Coturnix japonica: one gene and its partner. The protein of the gene in region 1 purifies or fractionates together with the protein of each later gene. This does not show direct contact. Links are inferred from orthologs where the notes say so. Each region holds a gene or a part of one and is shown on either strand. Other genes may lie near its edges.

What was found.
Region 2: the proteins of ANAPC1 (region 1) and CDC27 purify together in Homo sapiens (affinity purification with mass spectrometry; 16 studies listed by BioGRID and IntAct, with this or other methods). This does not show direct contact. The link is inferred for Coturnix japonica from reciprocal best matches to the Homo sapiens genes ANAPC1 and CDC27.

The regions. Positions count from the first base shown.
Region 1 is NC_029518.1:4,579,969-4,590,331, forward strand, and holds part of ANAPC1 (anaphase-promoting complex subunit 1), read left to right. Parts: coding exon 1-111; intron 112-554; coding exon 555-646; intron 647-810; coding exon 811-945; intron 946-1,095; coding exon 1,096-1,178; intron 1,179-1,332; coding exon 1,333-1,411; intron 1,412-1,993; coding exon 1,994-2,068; intron 2,069-3,095; coding exon 3,096-3,172; intron 3,173-3,442; coding exon 3,443-3,533; intron 3,534-3,622; coding exon 3,623-3,676; intron 3,677-3,945; coding exon 3,946-4,139; intron 4,140-4,363; coding exon 4,364-4,450; intron 4,451-4,968; coding exon 4,969-5,086; intron 5,087-5,930; coding exon 5,931-6,008; intron 6,009-6,425; coding exon 6,426-6,493; intron 6,494-8,078; coding exon 8,079-8,214; intron 8,215-8,703; coding exon 8,704-8,790; intron 8,791-9,298; coding exon 9,299-9,394; intron 9,395-9,710; coding exon 9,711-9,909; intron 9,910-10,363. UniProt on the Homo sapiens protein: Component of the anaphase promoting complex/cyclosome (APC/C), a cell cycle-regulated E3 ubiquitin ligase that controls progression through mitosis and the G1 phase of the cell cycle.
Region 2 is NC_029542.1:2,300,389-2,310,515, reverse strand, and holds the end of CDC27 (cell division cycle protein 27 homolog), read right to left. Parts: intron 10,127-10,127; coding exon 10,027-10,126; intron 9,379-10,026; coding exon 9,171-9,378; intron 8,105-9,170; coding exon 7,932-8,104; intron 7,302-7,931; coding exon 7,149-7,301; intron 6,363-7,148; coding exon 6,154-6,362; intron 5,944-6,153; coding exon 5,826-5,943; intron 5,453-5,825; coding exon 5,324-5,452; intron 4,849-5,323; coding exon 4,774-4,848; intron 3,884-4,773; coding exon 3,703-3,883; intron 3,022-3,702; coding exon 2,939-3,021; 3' UTR 1,625-2,938; downstream 1-1,624. UniProt on the Homo sapiens protein: Component of the anaphase promoting complex/cyclosome (APC/C), a cell cycle-regulated E3 ubiquitin ligase that controls progression through mitosis and the G1 phase of the cell cycle.

The DNA of each region.
Region 1 (10,363 bases):
CAGAGCTGGATGTCCCCCACAATGTACAGGTGGCTGCTGTGATAGGAATAGGCCTTGTCTATCAGGGCACTGCTCACAGGCACACAGCTGAGGTTCTGCTGGCTGAAATAGGTGGGTGCTAGCACTGAAAAAAACAAGGTGATGACTGGGAAAGTCACAATGTATGTGTGATCTGAATGTGTTGATAAATCTTCTAATTACACCTCTGCCACTGCAATAAGCACCTCACATTTCCCAAACCTCATCTTTTTTCCTTTGAGAATTTTTCTTTTGAGAGCTTCTGAACAGTAAAGTTCTGATCTGAATTGTCTTCGTTCTGTGTAATTCTGATTTTATTTCTAACACCAACATCCTTGTGTCTGTGTAACTTCAGTTAAGAGACTGCAGTTCACTACATAGAGAAAGGGATGCACTTTAAGATGGAATTATACTTGTTTCTGATAATCTGATATGTGCAGTCTTTTGAACTAGTGGCAGCTCTTGAACTCTGCTGATGGTGTTTGTGTAGGCTCAGCGATCTTCAAAGTATGTGTAATTGTTGGTTTTTTTTTCAGGACGTCCACCTGGACCAGAAATGGAGTACTGCACAGACAGGGAGTCCTATTCACTGGCTTCTGGACTAGCCTTGGGCATGGTGTGCTTGGGAGTAAGTGCCTCTTTTCGCTTCAGTAGAAGAATTATTGTTTTTGGGGCAGGGCTAATGAGAATCATTTCATCTTCAAACCTTCCCTTGGCTAAATGATTTTTTTTGTTGTTGTTGTTGTTATGTAAGGGAACACTTGCCTATTATTTCTTTTCTTTCTTCTTTAGCATGGCAGTAATCTGATAGGTATGTCAGACCTCAATGTTCCTGAGCAGCTTTACCAGTACATGGTTGGGGGTCACAGGCGGTTCCAAGCAGGAATGCACAGGGAGAAGCACAAGTCTCCTAGTTACCAAATTAAGGTATGTGTTGGTGTTCTTTACTTGTTTAAGGGGAAGGTAATATTAGCTCAGAAGTCTTCGAAAGTCTGTATCTTAATGAATGATCTTGAATCTTTACTCATGTCACCTTTCCTAGTCAACTAGTATACACGTATATGCTTGTTTTTGCAGGAAGGAGACACAATAAATGTGGATGTTACTTGTCCAGGAGCCACGCTTGCCTTTGCTATGATCTACCTAAAGACAAATAACAGGTACTAACTTTGGAGGTACTCAAGCACTTTGCTGTAGTTTGTGATAGGAGTTTGAGCTGCCATAATGTTGGCTTTGCCTCATGTGGCTCACTCAGGTGTTTGCATGTTGCTGTAATACAGTCTGAAAACCCTGTTCCTTTACTGTGCTCTGCAGATCCATTGCTGATTGGCTTCAAACACCAGATACCATGTACTTGCTGGACTTTGTAAAACCAGAGTTCCTTTTATTGAGAGTAAGATTTTTCTTTTATTTCTCAGTCTATTTATTGATGGTAAAAAATACATCTTATTTTTTTAATAAACTCCATACGCCTGTCATACAGGACCCTTTCTACAGATAGCTGCTCTGTTACTTGTCAGCTAGAATCATACCTTCAAACAGCCTCTGCTTGCTTCTCACACTATGTTAGACAGACAGAATTTGGTGAGAAACATTTGAAGGATACATCTCGAGCTGAGTAATTTGAATGTTTAAGTGATTGTTTTATAGCTTTTCACAAATTAATTTCAATGTTGACAAACGGTTAAACCTCAGCATCTGTGTAAGCTGTAATGTGCTTTCATGTCAGCTTACCAGCTAAAGATACAGGCTTCCCAAGTGCTTATTCTGTGTCTCTTTTATCTCCAAGCAGAGTTTTAATTGCACTGAAATAAAAGCTATTTTGCCATTTCTAATATGAAAGCTAAGAAACAGCAATGGAGCTGTTAATGGGAGCAGCTACATTTCTGGATGCATGTTGTAATATGTTAAAAACTAACACTGATTTAACTTTTTTTTTTTTCTTTATTACCTTTTGGTTTTATCACTTTTTTAGACCTTAGCTCGGTGTCTGATTTTGTGGGATGACATCATGCCCAGCACTGAATGGGTTGATAGCAACGTGCCTCAAGTAGGTATATTTATGCTTCCTAGTTTTACACCCTGCTGTCTTGTGCAAGTGAACATTTCCTCAGTTGCATGAGCTGCACAATAAAGCATATGTTAATTTGCTGCGCTTTCTTAATAGGGGAAATGTGATTTGACTTAAGAGAGGCTGTGGGCTGGGCTATCAGTTAACACTGTTCACATACCACATTGAGGCCAGAGAAGAGAGGAGGAAAAGATGAATGTAACAGACACAAGTTGCAACATAGGAGTTTCTGTTGTGTTGTAAGGAAACAGTGTTTGCAAGGGGAGTGATCAGACATTAGGAGGAAAGCCCAGAATCTCTGAGACTATTCAAAGTGGAATTGGATAAGATAACCTGAGCAAATATGATATAGCTTTGAAGATGGTTTTTCTTTGAGTAAGGGCTTGAACCAAAGACTGCTGGACTTAAAGACATCAGGTGTTTCTGGCCATTTTAAACACATCTAGTTTGTTTATGTGACAGAGATAATAGTTATGCAGGGTTCTTTGACTGTTCCAGGAGCCCTGGCGGCTCACATCCTGTGTAGCATTATTGGATGGAATTCTTCATGACAATGATACTAGAAGGGGGAAGCAGTTAAACTTTCCTCTGCAAAGACCAGACAAACTCGGTGCAAAGCTCCTCTACAGGAGGATCAACTGTATTCCAGGATATGTTGCTTGGGATTTTGAAGAGCAAATTAGATTATATCTTTTAGAAATACAGGATGGAGATGAACTCCCTGGCCTCTCAAGATCTCATCCTGTTCTGTTTTCTGATATCTGAGTGCACTGTCACACTTCTGACATAATAATGCCATTGTTCTAGAAATATCGAAGGAACCAGATACACAAGCATTAAAAAGTGTGCTTTCTGGATCAGCAATACAGTGGAGCAGTAACATGTTGAAGCAAAGCTAACTTGTGTTCCTTTGAAACAGACCTACTTTGTATTACGTGAACACTTGATGGCTGGAGGGCTTAGAGAGGTTCCTCTCTATTCGTTTTTCTCTTACCCTTTTTTATAGATCATAAGAGAGAACAGTATACCTCTTCATGCAACAGAGCTGCCTTCATCAGAAGACCTGAGTTTAGAAACACTGATGTAAGTAACTTGTAAAAGATGATCTTGCATATAAAAGAATATTTTACAAAGCCAAATTCTGCTTCTGATAAAATGCAGCTGAACTTTTGAAGACATATCAGGATCAAATAAATCTTTCCCTGGTATCTGAGGAATTTATTCTCTCTGTAGTGGAGAGGGTCTGTCTTTTTTCTTTTTTTTTTTTTTTCCTATTATAAGAGCTTTTAGTGCATACTCAGATTAATAAAAAAGATAAATACTTCATCAATTCCTGTTCGTGTTGTTTACTAGGCAAGCTCATGTCTACATCATTGCTGGGGCATGTTTGTCACTGGGATTTCGATTTGCTGGCTCAGAAAATAAGGCAGCATTTAACTGCTTGGTAAGAGGTTGGATTTCTTCATGTAAAATCCATAGAGCTATAGCTTATCCTTTGTATCTCTATTCAGCATGCATTTCTTTCCTTTCCAGGATAAATACGCAACAGATTTCCTGAAAAGTTTGTCAGCACCAACAGCTTCTATAGTAAGTTATTCCAAGTTTTCTCTCTACTTTGATTACCATCACTGAAACCTTAATGCAAGCAGAACCATTCCTCTTACTTGTGTGTATTACAGACTTACAGCATGTAGGAGGGTTGTGAATCACTGTTAAGGACTTCACTGTTTCCCCACTCTCCCTCTTTCTGTGGAATGTGGTTTTTCAAAGTCTGGGGTAGACAGCAGCATATTAGACAGATCAGAAGTGCATTTGACCACAGATGTGTAATGACACCTTCCCTGTTCTACATGAAGATAGGTCACTATAATCTCGAAACGTGCCTGAGCGTCCTGCTGCTGTCTCTTGCAATGGTGGTGGCTGGCTCTGGAAACTTGAAAGTTCTTCAGCTTTGCCGTTTCATGCACAAGAAGACCGGCGGAGAGATGAACTATGGATTCCATCTGGCTCACCACATGGCTTTGGGGCTTCTCTTTCTGGGAGGAGGAAGGTAAACTTGCCATTTCCTAAAGCCATATTCTTCCCCCACCTTTTCTGCAACAGCTGGAGCAGTGCACGATTTTTTTCTTTTTTTAGTGGGTATACACTTGTAAATTCCTTTTCTGTACTTTGTTACTGTCCTTCCCGAATGCAAGAGACCAGAACATATTGAACATCTGTGGTAGTGGCATGTGTTTGTTGGCAGTAAGACTAATAGATAATGTTTTTCAACAGATACTCACTGAGCACTTCAAATTCTTCCATTGCTGCTCTCCTTTGTGCTCTGTACCCTCACTTCCCTGTTCACAGCACAGACAATAGGTAAGTGTTTGTTAACTTCATGTTTCTTTAAAGTTTATATCTCCTTAACTTTCAGGCTAAATAATCTCCTTACAATAGAGGTTATAGAGAGAAATTCTCTTGGAAATTTATATAGGCACGATATAGCTAATTTTTTGGAGGTTCATCCCCTGAAGAAATGTAAATAGCAGAAGCAGTAAGATGATGGTTCTGATCATTGATCAATGAGGAAATGCAAACAGGTGTCCTGGGGCTTCTGCTACAATGACTTATCTGTTCCAGCTTGCTCAGCAAAAAAAAAGTCATGCAAGATCTGTCTGTTTATGATTCTTCATGAATTTAATTAAAATTCATGAAGTCCTGTCTTGTTAGCTGAAGCATACCATGTTAAGGAAGTCTTTGAAACCTGCTTAATTACTCCAAATTTAACTTCAGTTCAGTTGACAGCTGTATGTAGTTACTGAGCTGTGTGTAGCTTACTATTTGGGATTATTCTGTGCCTGTACTGCTTGTCTTGAGTTTCCTTTCCCCACACACAGGTATCATCTTCAGGCTTTGCGGCACTTGTACGTGCTGGCAGCGGATCCAAGGCTCTTAATACCCGTTGATGTGGACTCAAACACTCCTTGTTACGCACTGTTAGAAGTTACATTCAAGGTAAGGAGTGAAGGCGTTTGAGGAGGTGTGGGAGGCAACTGAAAACTCCGATACACCAAAGCTCTGCTATTTTCATTGTTGTGGCCTGCAGTTTTGGGTTTGTTTTCAAGTTGTGGAGATAAGCCTGATTCTTTAGGCAAATAATTGAAGGGCTGTGTTCAGCCCACTCACACGTTACACGTGCTTTGATGACACAGAGAGGAGAATACAGGACAAATAAAAAGCACCACAAACTCTTCAAGTACGTAATAGCTGACCCAGAGTTGTAGTTCTCATTTTTCTAAAGAGAAAACTTTCAAAGATGCAGAGGTGGTTGGGGCCGTTTGTGGGTTTAACAGCTGCCTTCTAATTCTGCTGAGACTGGCAACTTGGTGTCTCTCTCTACATGATGTGCCTTCTGGGGAAGAATGCTTTCTCTACTGTTTATTCTCATATAGATTAACGTGAGATGGGTGGTGCTTGAGAAAGACCTAAAGAAGGGGTTGCTGAGATTTCAGGGGAGAAGTGTTGCAGTGCAGATCCTCCATGGGTCTGGCAAAGATGCTGAAGTTCTGTTCCTTGCTGTGGGAGGAGATAGGGCTATCCATACTATCATTTTCTTCTCAAACTTTTGGATTTCAATGGAGTGTGCCTGCTGTTGTGTGGTGATTCTTCTATGAGAAGTAGCTCTCTAGTTCAGGCTTATGTCTTGTAATGTTAAAGGTAATGCTAAGCTATGTATTTAGTCAGAGTTCAGCAACAGAAACTGACTGGCCTCTGCAACTGTGTTGCAAGAAGCACGTTTTCTTTCTTTTCACATGAAAGTGAGCTTTACTAATATGTGAATCCTGATGGCATTTTGAAGGGCACACAATGGTATGAAGAAACCACCGAGGAAATGATGGCACCCACGCTTCTTCCAGAGCTTCACTTGCTGAAGCAGGTAAAAGAAGTCCATGTTTAATGGAGAATATAATTACATGGGTTGTGTGCTGCCTGTGGTGCAGGAGCACTTGGTGAAGTTTCTTTGACCCAACACTAGGCAGGCTGTGGACAATGCTGTCTATAGCAGTGGCTCTGAAGGCAGTTGTCACTGTGAGTGCACATGCTGTCTCATGGCACGTGCTTCTCTTTGGTCTTGGCTGTCATGCTTTCAAGATCTGATGTAGCAGGGGTTTCCCTGTACCAAAAGCTTCACTGCAAGAGAGACAAAGCTAGTCCCTCCTTCATGTTTTCAGAGTGGGTAACGTGATAAAAGGTCATTTCCCCTTGTAATGGCAGGGAAAGGGCTTTAGGCTTACGTAGAAAACCCTGTTACGTTTCTGGTTATACCTCATAATAAAAATGCTTAAATCAACAGATCAGAGTGAAGGGACCACGGTACTGGGAACTTCTAATAGATTTAAGCAACGAAACAAGTCATCTCAAGTAAGTACTATTTGTAGTGCTTAAATGAATAATAACCTCGTATTTATTTCAAAATAAAAGAGAAAAGAAAACCAACACACTCCCATACTTGTAACACCTACGGTTTGCAAAGCAGTCTGCTTTTGATCAGATTGCTGTTGTGCATTTGATGGCGCTTTAAAGCGAAGAAAGAAACTGCGTAGTTGGTTTCACCTGTTGATGAGAATAATTCATGCAAAAAACAGGTCAGGGGAAAACCTGATAGTAAAAACCACAGATATTGGTAGCGGGATTTAGCAGCACCAGAAACCATCTGAATCTCATGGTTTTGGTTTAGTTTTGAGTTGTTGTGATGTCATGTTTCCCAGGCTGTTGATACAGTAATTAGCCAGCAGTTACCGCTTTGTGAAATACTATTTCTCTGATGTTACATGTAGCATACAGTGCTTACTGCATTTTTAACTCTCCATTGGGCAACTGTGAAAAACAGAAATCTTACCGGAATCACAGTATCTGTGAGTAAAATCATTCTCACTTGGTGCTTTTAGCAACCTACAGTGTAACTTGTCACCGTGAGTAGTGTGGAAGAAGCCAGCTGCATCTTTCAGCAGCAGCGTAGTTGTTCTTGTTACATGAAATGCCACCATTGAGATTAAGTTAAGCATTACAATGCTGCGGCTGTTGATCCGTGCCTTTAGCAATAACAGAGCTGATGTGGAGTGTGGAGTCCTCCAGATCAGCAGACACATCCTGAGTCATCTGCTACACCAGAGCTGGCAGGGCACAGCTTTGTCCTTCTATAGAGACTGCTAACACTTCAGTGCTTGTTTGCCCCTAAAGAGCCTGCCAGCACTCACTGCCGCAGCAGAAAGCAGCATGGGTGGCTGAGGAGGTTGCTGCCTTTGGCTCTGTCTGCTCTCTGGCACTCCAGATGCTTTGACTCTGCCATCTCTTGTCACAACATCGGTTACTCTATCATGTCCCAAGACCTTTCCAGTGTCAGGGACTTGGCTGGCATTGTTTTGAAGGTAAAAGCATATATGAGAAATCTTTTTTCCTGCCTTAACACAGCACAATCTGCTTGTACTATGCAAAGCAGTTACCTTCAGTTTGGAGAACTTGATTGTTACAGGGATTCCGGTGCCTACACTCTGAATGTGGTAAACATGCAGCTGCTTTGCAGCAGTGTAACTTTTGAAGTGCTGCATGCTTTTATATGTAGGCTTGGTCAGGGTTGGGGAGGAAGGGTTGTATTGGGTCATTTCTGCTTATTTGCCATTGAGGAAGGACTTGCTCAGCATTGCAGCGTGCTTTTAGAGCTGTGGCTTCCAGCTTGTGTGGTTTTCCTTGGGTGCTGGACAAAAACCTGCTTCAGGAAGTTACACTCCTTTTATTAGCAGGGCTTACCTTGTTTTCATCACCATTGCCTGCCTCCACATCACCATTTAATAGCAGTCTTCCCTGGAAGATACATAAAAAATGTTGGTTTGTGCAAGTTTAAATAATAGAGGCAAAGCATAAGCTGTGGAGTTCATGTTTATTTTGCAGGTCAGCCTCATTGTGGGCATCTGCCAATGTAAAGTAAGCACCGCTGTTGTTATTTCAGATCAATTCTTTCAAAGGGTGGTGTCTTGTACGTGAAGCTGAGAGCTGGGCAGCTCTCCTACAAGGAGGATCCCATGGGCTGGCGCAGTTTCTCAGCACAGACTATTACTCATGGGAACGAAGCACGGTCATTCAAGGTATCACTGCCTTTACTGGTTCTTATGCAGAGCAGCATGGAGGCTTTCTTACAAGGGCAGCATGGCACATAGAGGTGAAAGCTGCTAAACTTTGTTAACAAAGGATTTGGCAGTGAAGTGATGTCACCTCAGAGGAGTGTCTGAGGACAGGCTGTGAGGAACTGAGAATGTCACCTCTGGAAAGACAAAAGGGGAAGCACAGCAGGTTTGGGCTGTGTTATTTCCAGCAGGTAGCACTGCCACCAGGTTATGAGTGCTAAAGTCCTTTGTTTTGCTTAAGGGAGGTGTGCAATATGCTTAGGCCAACAGCTGCCATGCAAATGTATGTTCATCACAGAAGAATCAGGCAGGTTCTGCCCATGATATGCTTTTCGTAGGTTGCGCTGTTCTCACTTGTGTACTGGGGATGGAAAAGATGGATATAAATCACTATTTCAATTGTGTGATGAAACCAAAAAGTCCATTTTAAGAGTGTGTTTTGTTTTGTAGCCAGAAGATATTTCAGCTTTTACATCTGATCCTGCTCTATTATTGTTTGCTGAGTACTTTTGCAAACCAACTGTGAACATGGGCCAGGTATGATGTCTACATGTGAACTACCGTGCTTCCTTTTTCATGAAACAAAGGTGGGAAGAAGTCTGCTAAGATGTGAGGGACAAAATTCAGTCCTGTGGGAGTTTTCTGAGGGATGCTTTGTAGCGTGAAAGCACAAAATAGTGCTAACTCTATAGTTGTTCATGCAACCTCAGAGCTGGTTAAGCTGCAGAATACACCAATGGTTGTGCTGTGCTCATTGTGGATTGCACTGACCAAATCCTGAGAGCCCTGTGCAGTGTCCTGCAGAAGGGAGCTGTGCATTTCTTTGCACTAAGTCACCTAAGGCAGGAAGTAAAATACAGCTATGTTACACCTAGTATTAACAATCACCAGAAAGAAAGCAGGCTGCATGGCATTGCCTAGCTATTATTAGTTTGTGGAACATCAGTGCATGGGCTGACTTTAGTGGAAGGAAATTGAAGCAGTGTAAAAACCTGAAATAAATTGTGCCTGGCATGTGCAATTCATAAGATATGTGTTTTATCAGAAACAGGAAATGCTGGATTTTTTCTCTTCAATTCTCTATGAGTGCGTTACCCAAGAAAAACCAGAGATGCTGCCCACGTACATAGCAATAGATCAGGTGAAGTAAATACTGTATTTGTTATTGTTTTCTTTAAACTGCTTTGGCATAAGAATGTTTATTGCATACCATTCTATGGAAACAAAGAATAGAGGGGATATGTTGGTGAACTTATAGGAAGGGAGTGGTGATTTTAAAAGCAAATTGGAAAATAGTTTAAGGCTGTGGAAATTATAATTACACAGTGAGGTTCACTGATGGATCTTCTAAGTAGGTGCTAAAGAGGGGAGCCCTTGGAGAGGGGAGTTTTTAGGGTTCCTTTCCTTTCTCCATTAAGTTCCCATTCTCACAGTTGCTTTGTATTTCCCTCTACTAGGCTGTGAGGAGATTGGAAAGAGGAGAAATGTCTGAGACATTTGAGCTGGGGCAGATAAAGCTGGTGTTAGAATTCTTCAATTCCAGATGTCACCAGGGGAGGATGAGCAGGAATCCAAACAGAGGACTCTTCATGAACTCTGAATTTCTGCCTGTGATGAAGTGCACTATTGATAAAGCTCTGGATCAGTGGCTTCAAGGTATAGTGAACTGACTTTAAACCTGCAGCTGTGGTCATGATTCAGTGTTCTTAGTACCTTCTGATTGGGGATGATTGCTGATTAAGGTTGATTTTTGCCTCAAAGTACTGAAAAGGAGAAGGCAATGAATGTTAACATACACCAACTTGTTTGCCATGTATTTTAGCCTTAGTATCATATATCACGTACCTGAGACAAACAGGATGGGATTTAGAATTGAAGGGACTTCTTCAGCAACGCTGCCTATGCAGAGGGCTGAAGTCTTGCTCACATATGACTGCTGCTTACATATCTTGTCTACCAGCTTACTGCTTAGTCTTTCTTCAGCATGGTACTGAAAGTCTGTCAGGGAAAGACTGGGTTAATGTAATGTGTTTGACCGATTGAGTCCAATTGATAAGCTCCAGCTACTGCCCTCCAAGTAGCTGTTCTTTTTCTGAGTCTTTAATCTCTC
Region 2 (10,127 bases), on another chromosome or scaffold:
GTGAGTTAAAGCCAAGCTCAGCCTCACAATGTGGGCTGGAGAATGAAGCTGGATGTTGGTGGGTATTCCCAGAGCAGCCAGCCCTGCAAGCAGAGCAGGACACATTAAAGCTCACCTGCTTCCAACCCTGCACCACACATTGGTTGCCCACTCCCAGCTCAGGGTGCCCAGAGCCCATCCATGGCTGTGGGCACCTTCATTTCTGCTGTAGGCAACATCAGGGACTGATGGATTCCATAAACCAGGGGAGACTTTGAGCTGATACAACAGCTGAAGGTGGTCAGAAAGGAACATACAGCTCCAGGAACTGAGCTGTGGTTAAAGAGGGGCCATTTCTGAGCCCTCCCCTATTTGCACCATGAGGGTGTTTGAAATCAAACCCCTAATACTGATGGAGGGGCAGGAAGCAGAGAGCAGCATTAAGTGCCCACCGAGGCAGCATGAAGAGCACAAAGCTGTCTGTGCCCATAAAGCACCAAGAGGATTCCTGAGCTGGGAGCCCTGCGATGCTGCCCAGCCCTAACACAGTGCATGGCACTGCAGGGTGGGGGGGGGATTGCAGCACACGTTGCTTTTCCCTTTACTTCACTGCTGGGAAACGTGCAGCCCCAGCAGCACAAGGTACAGAGGAAGCATCAGGAGCAGAAGAGTGAAGGGCAGGGCTGAGAAATACAGAAATGAAAGGGAGGAGGGCTCAAATTCAATGCAACCCCAACAGCCAAAGGCAGAAAGGAGACAGATGGGGCTGCTGTAACAAACTGAGTGCCAACAGCTTTAAGGATAACAGAACTGAGACCCTTCCTGCAGCACCCAGCACTCACAGCTGCCCTTATTGAGGAGTATTGAGGTGCTGGGAGGGCTCACACAGCCCACAACAGAAAACCTGCAGCCCCAGCTCAGGACACAGCAGCTCATAGGGGCAGAAAGCTGCTAAATCTGCTTCCAACTTCAGGTTCTTCTATAAAAGCCCATTTTAAAGGTATGATGTACACATAAACATGGGGACAGATGCAAGTATTGAATCTTCAGTGAGTATCCAGCACCCCAGCTGAGTTCATGACTGTTGTGTAACTGTTCTCAATGGCCACAGGAGGGAAGGAGCCCCCTGGCTTCCTAAGCCTCAGGTCAAAACAAGCAGCAATTCCTGGGGGAAGTCAGAGCAGCAGCAGAGGATGGAAAGGAGATGAACCAAGCAAGGTGCTGCTCTGGGAGCTGGAAGCACTCGGTGTTCCTTCCCATACACAGGGAAAGACTCACCTGCTGCAGCTGAGGAGCTCCTGGGGATGAAGCTCATTATTTCTGCTTAGAAAATGGGTTGGGAACCAAAAGACTCCATCCATTGTGGCAGGGCAGATGCAGGCACTGCCTCCATCAGTGGAGGGGGGGGTGTTTATTCTTCACCTTTCAGGACCTTCACAATGCTGGGGATGCTCAGCTCACTTTCCTCTGCTTGTCCAAGAACACAAAGGCTGCACTTTGGGTTATTTCTCATGCAATAAATGTGTCCCTATGACTCACAACAGCAAGGAGCTGTGATGGAGCACAGTGCAATGCTATGGTTTAATGCACAGAGAGAAACCCTTCACAAGACAGCAACAAAAAGATCAAGGCTGACACCAACAAGTTATGTTGCTATGAAATTTATATCATTCCCAATTTATTATGCATAAATCGCTCTTTAAAACTGCTTTTATCATACACTTTCTTTATCATCACTGCATAAAGGGCACCAATTGTTGCTGCAAAACACTACAGAGAAAGGTCGTTTTGGACTCAGTGTGGCACAGCTTTCTTCACACAGAAACAGCCTCAGGGAGGAGGGAAGGGGTCTATAATCCTATAGAGAGAAAGCGATTCCGAGGACCTCAAAGAACAGCTTAAAACAAACCCAAAACCACAGAGAACTGCACATCTCTGCACTCCGCTTGGACCACACGTTACAAAACTGGTTTAAAAAGGATCCGATCTGAGGCAATTGTTACCTGATGCATTCGACTGTAAGGTTCTGATTTTGCATTAAGGCTTCTGGTCTTCCCCATGGATTGGTTCAGCAGCAGGCAGTCACTGCAGGGAAAGGGCTCGGTGGATCCACGTTAAGTCGTATCTGCATTTCTCTCTCTTGGTTTTGCCCCTTTATTAATGTTTATTTTCACACCGGGAAGAACAACTCAAGGGGGTGTATGAAAAAACAAATGGAGCAATGCACCGCTGACTTGTTTAACGTACAAAGTAAAGACATCTTAGAAACTAGGTGAATAAATTAAGTCTCTGTTAAGGACATGAAAGTTCTCCGTGAAAGCTGTGATTCTGCACTGTGATTCTCTTGCTACGTCCCCATCCCTGCAGGTTTGCACTCTAAGAGGGACACAGGGTGCTGTTACATGGTCTGACAGCCCCAGCCCTGAGCACACACGCTCTGTTTGTTCACTGGAGATGCTGCAGCTTTAAGGTCATTTACATTCCCTGGCATTTAAGTTACACTACAATATGCAAAAGTCTTTAACAGCATTTGTCAACACTGTCCTCAAAGAACTCGGAAATGAAGTTCAGCACTCTGCTCACCAAGAAAGAACCAAACTAAGACACACTTCTGGGAAAGGAACAAGACACCGCTTCATTAGTACTGCCCCCACATCTACTGGCTTCGTTACAGCAACCCGCACGTCTCTTCCATGATATTTTTTCCAGCAAAGGGGAGTCCAAAATAAACCAAAAACCCAGCATTTCCTCCTTATAAGAGCCAACAAGTCAACCTCAGCAGCAGCCAAATATTGCACTGCCATTAATTCTGTGCACAGTCTGAGCGGTGAACTCATGGTGTCAGTGGAGAATTCATGACAATGCTGGCTCAGTGATGTGAAGACCCAGGACGCAAAGGAAAGGGAGAACACAACAGTACCAGTCACACACTCAAGCCCACATGTTGGCTTTTTGGAGGTTAAAATTCATCGCTTTCAACTGCATGGAGCTGTGTGTCATCTGCATCCGTCATGCTGCTCTCTTGGGATTCGTCTGTGCCAACTTGGAAAAAGAAACAGAACACAAAATTGGTCAAAACTTGACTACAGTTCCTGCACAGCCAACTGCAGCACAGCAGCAACATGTTGGTACCTCATCAATGTGAAACTGAGCTCCTGCCTTCATCCCCCTCCCTCAAAAGGCTTAAGGAGCCATAAGGTCTTTTCATTGCAATAAGGTGACCCCCCGCTAGCTTAATACAGTTGAAATAAATGCATTTAGAAAGGAATTGGGATCACAAAATACAAAAACCTGCAGTCTCCTTCACTTAACAGATGCTCGCTCCTGTTACCCACCACATCAATGCACTGTGATTGTGATCACTTATGATCCAAACGTACACCTTTTATTTCAGTTATATTTATAGGACAGATTAAGTCACGGGGCTTCCCCCAACCTCCCACCCTCTGCTCCATCATTTGACTGCCACTGAAGTTCCAGTACTCTGTCTCCATCTTCTGGTGACTCAGCCCACAAAGTGCACCAGCCTTACATGCAGATTATATGCAGGTAATCCAACCTCAACAGCAAGAGGAAAGCCTGGCACATCAGGAAGTGCAGTGCAGCTCCCCATATTGAAAGCACAGTGGGACAAGACCACTAGGAATTACTATGATATACACCCTAACAGCTTTTCCAGGTGAAGATTTAGGGATGCAGAACACGCATATGCAAAATACAAACCTGATTCATAGGGATAACATTCACTGATTTGCTCTTCTTGAGTTATTGGTTCCTCGTCATCTGGAAGGTAACGTTTATCGATAGCCTCTTTAATTTGGTTGTTGGCTCCTTTGGGATCTAAGTCCATCGCCCAGGAGAAATTCATTAGGGCCAAATGGGTTTGCCCCAGCTTTTTATAAACCTAAAATAAAAGCATGAAATGCTACGTTTACAAGGTGCTGTGTGAAAGGTTGGACAACAAACACAATAAGTCACAGTTAACTAACACATATGAGAAGCAGTAGAGTAGATTCAAACATTTATTACACAAGTCCAGAGGGAAACAGCAAAAGCATGTAGAAAAAGTGCATGAGTGTTTCTGCCTAAGTGCCCAAATTTAAATGAAGTGATCAAATGAAATTAGCAGCCAACAGATTCAAGAACATAAGGAAGTGGTTCTTCAGATGTAATTTAAGCCTCGGAACTCCTACAGCCTCATTAAGATTTCCCACTTCCCAAACTGATACAGAAGGATATCGCCTTCTGTAACCCACTTGCAAAGGCCATCAGCTGAAACAGACACGGAGGAGTAAAAGCACCCCACAGACACTTACTCAGCACTTCTGATGCAATATTAATACATTTATACATTTGAGCATGGTTCAACACTTTCACATCTCCAGGCCCAAATAACCAACACAGATGACTGATAGTCAGCCTAGCCCTGAAAGCTGTTCTAACTACTGCAACCTCTTTGCAGTTAAAGATCTCAATAAAGATCCATTTCTTGCTTTCTAAAATGAATTCCTCTGAGACAACAGATGTAAAAGAAGACAACAGGAGCTTGGGTTATCTTTTCTTGGGTGGTTATAAAAATAGCTTGAGGTTGCTCCAGTCTTTTAAGGCTGAAAGCTGTTACGTTGGAGAGCTGTGAGATTATATGCAGCAAGTCTTATTGAAGGCTCTGTGAATTTTACAATGCTGCCCCAAATGTAAACAGCTTGGCAACAGGCTTCAAGTTTCCTCATTAAGCAGACGTTTCTGCAATGAAGGAAAACAAAGTGCTTACAAACACAGTGAAATTTCACCTACCTTTCCTATTAAGAAGTAAACAAGAGACTCTTTGGGAACAATCTGCTTCAGTTCTTCAAGTTCTTGCAAAGCAGACTGAAAAGGAAGAAAAAAAATAAGCACAAGCTGGCAACCAGCAGCCAGTTATTGCATTGCTGAACTGCAACTCAGAGCTGATGCAAACCTCGCAACTGACATACAGCACACTCCACCACAAACAACAGTACGGCCTCATCAGAAGCACCTCAAGTTTCTTTTACATTAGTTTCTCCTTTAATGGCTATAGAATGTTATGGCCCAATTATTACAAGCACAGAATAAATACGCTGGGCTTTGGTCTCCTATAATAACATCTAATTTTTTTTCTCCTGCTCACAGGTATCCTCTGCTTTTGACTTTTAATCTCCTGCTCAGTGAAGGTGGCACTTCTTGAAACAAATGCTTTATTAGCTGCTCTGCCTCAGGCTCTTCCTACTCATGCTTCAAGCCTTAATGCTTATCACTGCATCCCCATCCGCTGCTGTAGCAAGTAACAGATAATCTAAGGTTGTCTACGTGCATCAAATCTTACCTTGTATTTCTCATTTGCAAACAGTACAGAAGCTCTATGGAATTTGCATAGTGGGTTCTTGGGGTCGATGTTAATTGCTTTGTTTAGAGTATCCAAAGCCTTTTCAGATTTTTTCAGTGCGTGTTGGACCTGTAACAGAACAGGAATAAAATCTCAAAAGGGGAAAAGAATAAAGTAAATTTGACTGGTGCTGCTACGTTTACTTACAACCTGTTCCTACTGAGTCTTAAAGAAACCAAGCTTTCTCACAGGTAAGCCTATGCTATCAGGTTGAGTCAGTAAGCCATTTCAACACTGGCTAAAAGCAACTGGGGGGAGGGAGAAAAGAGGATTTATTTTCTGACACAATCCCACGGTTATTCATTCATGCAATAAGATCCTCTAATAGATCCTCTGAACTTTGTTTTGTTTGTTTTTGCACTTCAAGTTCAGGAAGGTTGCAGGTAAAGGGCAGAGGCAAATCAGAACATAACAAGGAGAGAGCTGAGCGCAATCTACTTACTACTCCAATGTGACACAGTAAGACTGAGCTCTGAGGATTGATATCAAGTGCTTTCTGGAAATGCATTTCTGCTAAACTGAATTTCTCCTGTTTGTAATAAATCATTCCCAACCCATACCTGCAAAAAGGAAAAACAGTTCCATTAATAAGAGTGCATCTTAAATAAACTAATTGTCATCAGCAAATATGGACTGGTAGAAGTGGCACATATTTAGAAATGACTCAATGACAGAAAAGTCTCACAAAATTCACAGCAGCGTTTGCAGCTTATTCCTCCCAAAGGTGCTCCATATCACATACAGCAGAAGGGGGATGAAGCAAGACTTACCATGCATTGTAGTGCCTGGAGTTGACTCTGATTGCATTCCTAAAACAAGCTAATGCCTTGTCTAGCTCTTCTGTTAACACAAATTCATGCCCCAAAAGGGTGTAGGCGTAAGCATAGTTTGGATCAACTTGAATGGCTCTCTGGAAGAACTTGATTGCAATGTCATGCTCTCGTTGCAAGCTGAAGCAGTTCCCTGCAGCACACCATGCCTAATAAAAAACAGCATTCTAAGTTAGAAGTGTCATTTCACAACCTGCAGAATGACCAAGTCTGAGCTAAACAGATCTTCTGTCACTGATCTATGCAATTATGTCACTTGCTACTAGATTATAAACAACAGTTTTAACAGTACTGACCAGTTGCTTCACTAAGTCCTCCTTCCTCTAGTACAAAATAGAATGACCTGAATAGGTTCATCTCCAGCAGAAAATCCCAACAGACTCCACAGCTTCCCCCACTCTGTCAAGAGCAGATTTATATCCCCTCCACACACATACATACTTATTATTGGGGCACATGTCAGCTTGCTTGCATGTCATGTGCATGTTATAATACCAGCTCAACGGACTTCAGCATAAAAATATTTTCAAGCAGCGTTGTACAAGTTGTGCAGGAAATATGAGTGCCAGTGAATTACAGCAGTTAGAAGATAATATGAGAAAAAACATCCCTTATCTTTACATGTGGGCATCAGCAGGGACAATTGATCAACCCATGATCTTCCTGGATTAACAATGTCAATACAGATTCAAATCACCATTAATAGATTAAAGGTTCACAACGTGTCCCATATAAGCTGATATTCTAACGCCAAGCAGCCATTTCAGGCATCATCAGCTCAACAGGCAAATCCTGCCACCTCCCTCTCCAGTTTCACCTCATATTTCTCAAGTGAGAATGAAATCCTAATCCAGCTCCAGTCCAAGTTCTGTTCCCTGTCACTGTCTGTGCCGCACACAGTTACTCATCTCACTGAGCACCACAGCATTTTGTACCTCTGGTGAGTTTTTATCCATGTCTGTTAAATCCTTTGAAAGAACTGACAGAGCAACATCTTTCTGCAGATGCCACAGCGTAGTTGAATAGATCTCCATGCCTTCTACTCTGTAGTTTTCAATCCTCCTCACTTCTGAAAATATCCTTTCAGCCTAAGAAAGGAAATGAGAAATCAAACAACAGCAATTCCACCCACTCAAACAGAGCACACAGATCAAAGTTAGAAGCCTCATATGTCCAGAATGAGAATTCTTTGCTATGCAAACATGAGGCAGAGCTACAAGTCCTGTTGTATTTTTATCTTCCCCACCAAAGGAAATGACTGCACTCCAATACAGTTAGACCAAGCAGAATTCCAGCTGCCCTCCCTGCTTGTGACTCCTGCAGGAAACAAGCACAACAACTGTCAGGGCAACAGAGAGAATAAGAGCTGAACGGCTGGATTCATCTTAGCTGCTTTTTTCTGTTGTGAAGCAGTTTGCTATCACCTCAGCTGCAAAGGGAACCAGGTCATCAATGGATCTCCATTAACTAAATAAGGGGGGGGAGAAGAACACCTGGTTTTGGAACCTGAATTGTTTCAGTGATTATTTACAGCACTGCAGTACAAACAGCTGCATCAGCCCAAGTGAGGGTGAAGATGGAGAAAGGCAAAGGGAGACTCCCAGGACTGGATGCAAGAGGAAGTAACTTCAGCATTAAAAGAAATCTGAAGCACAACTCAACTTCAGGAAACAACGACTGCTGACACAGACTCAAAACCAACCACAGGCAGTTCCTACCTGCATGTATTCTGCAAGTTCAAAGTAAGCTCTCCCAATCTGGCACAGCACCCAGCCAGTGTTGTAGTGGTGAGATGGCAAATGGCTTAAAATATTTATCGCTTCTTTGCAGTTGTATGAGCACAGGGCTAAATAACCTTTCCCCATGTCACGAAGAAGGCTCATCAAACCTTCTAGGAGAAAAATACAATAAGTAAAAATGGAAAAAACTGCTGAAATTCATTTACTTGAAACAGCTAATCCTCATAAGCTTCACACTGTGGCACTGCTCCTAATTTTGCATATGAATATCTTCCAAGAGTCCTTAAGCAGGCTTATCCACTCTTAATTCACAACACAACATTCTAAACAGCAGTGGAAGTCAGGTGTTGACAACTTCTCAAGCCAGCAACAGAACACTCAGGAACAGAGAAATGGTGACGCTCAGGAGAAGTGGATTTCTGCACTTACACCAACAACTCAAACTTATTTTTTTTTAGGTCTCAGTTTCCACATGTCTGGTATCCATGGACACATCTGCTCGCTGCCTGGAAACTTTATGGAGCCAAAAGAGAGGAATTCAATAGCTTGTCTAGGATTTTCTGTCAAACTGGACAAAGATTTGTGCTTAAATAGGAAACCGCAAGGGAGAATAGACAACACAAATCTAATTTTAAGATAATTGAATTACTCATAACTCCTTTGAATCAGTTTCCAGGGTTCCTGCCTGAAAACATCTTAAACACTCATAAGAACCAGAGTCAGATACGTTTGCTCACTGTTTTTTTCATCCTATTATTTCATTAGTTCTCTGTAAGTTACATTGAGTTCAGTGTACTCCAACTATCTTGATAATTACAGAAGAGCTGCAGGTTGACTGAAATGATACACATAACTAAAGCAATTTTCCCCTCCGTCTAGACTAGAGGGAGCTTATAAGCAGGAGGGAGAACGACTTTTCACACAGCAGACAGTGCTAGGACAAAGGGGGATGGCTTTAATCTAAGAGGGGAGATTTAAGCCAGATGTGAGGGGGAAATTCTTTACGAGGGTGGTGATGCCCTGACACTGCTGCCCATCCCTGGAGGTGTCCAAGGCCAGGATGGATTCTGGCCTGTGCTGCTGGGGGGCAGCCAGCCCACAGCAGAGGGTTGCAAGTGGGTGAGCTTTGAGGTCCTCTCCTACACAACCATACTATGATTGAAGACATACATCTACCAAAGTTTGACCTTACTGAAGTCTGATAACATTCAAACAGACCTGCTGCTGCCTTCTGTAGCGTAAAAGCCTGGATCTGTGGTGTAACAGTAGATATTTTCCCTTCTGAAATGATGGAAGAGTCCAGTTTGGTAATTTCCAAGCTATCATTTATGTTTGGCTGAGTTATCCCTCCCTTATTTGTTTTACTTTTTGTTTTCCTGTTTGCAATCTTAGGTGGAAACTTCATTTTTAATTTTTTGCTATTTTCCTGCAAGCAAAAAGAACAAAAGTCACATATACAAAAGAAATTAATTCAACTTAACATGATTAACTTGCAAGTTCAGTAACAATGAATTTATCCCTCTTCACAGCTTTCGCAACAGTGCCCAGCTGTCTGTAACTGAGTTCAAAAGTAAAACACCTCCTAACTCCACTGAGTGCTTTGTTTTTTAACAAACATTCACATACATTAACCACAGTCCACAAGCATTTGTGCTCTGAAGTCCTGCTCCACTGATTAAAGAACAGAAAACTGACAAGAAAAAAAGTCAGCTTGCTTTTAGAGAAGCAAAGCATCCAGCTAAGAAATTCTGAAATAAACATATCCACACAACACAGCCCCTTGTCAAATGGGTTGGCAGCTAGCAGCACAACTGCACTTGTCATCCCAGTACAGATCTTTGTTGTTGTTTATCATGACCTTCTTCCCACCCCTAGTGGAGCACTCTTGAGAACGAAAAGGAACATATGGCATTCAAGGCATGTTTCATATAGCCTGATTTTTCTGCTCATGATGGAGTTTAGGAACAAACTGCTATGATTGATGTGTAGATGGGGAAACTATTAGGCAGTGCAGTGGCATGGGTAAGGAAAGCCTCTCAAGCTTGGGAAAAAAAATAAAGCATGGATTCATTACCTTTGTTGTGGAGCTATCACTAGTAAAAAGGCGAGAGCTTCTTCGAGGCAGTGAGTTTGGTGGAGCAGCAATTGTTGGGCTCAATACCTGAGGTGTTGTAC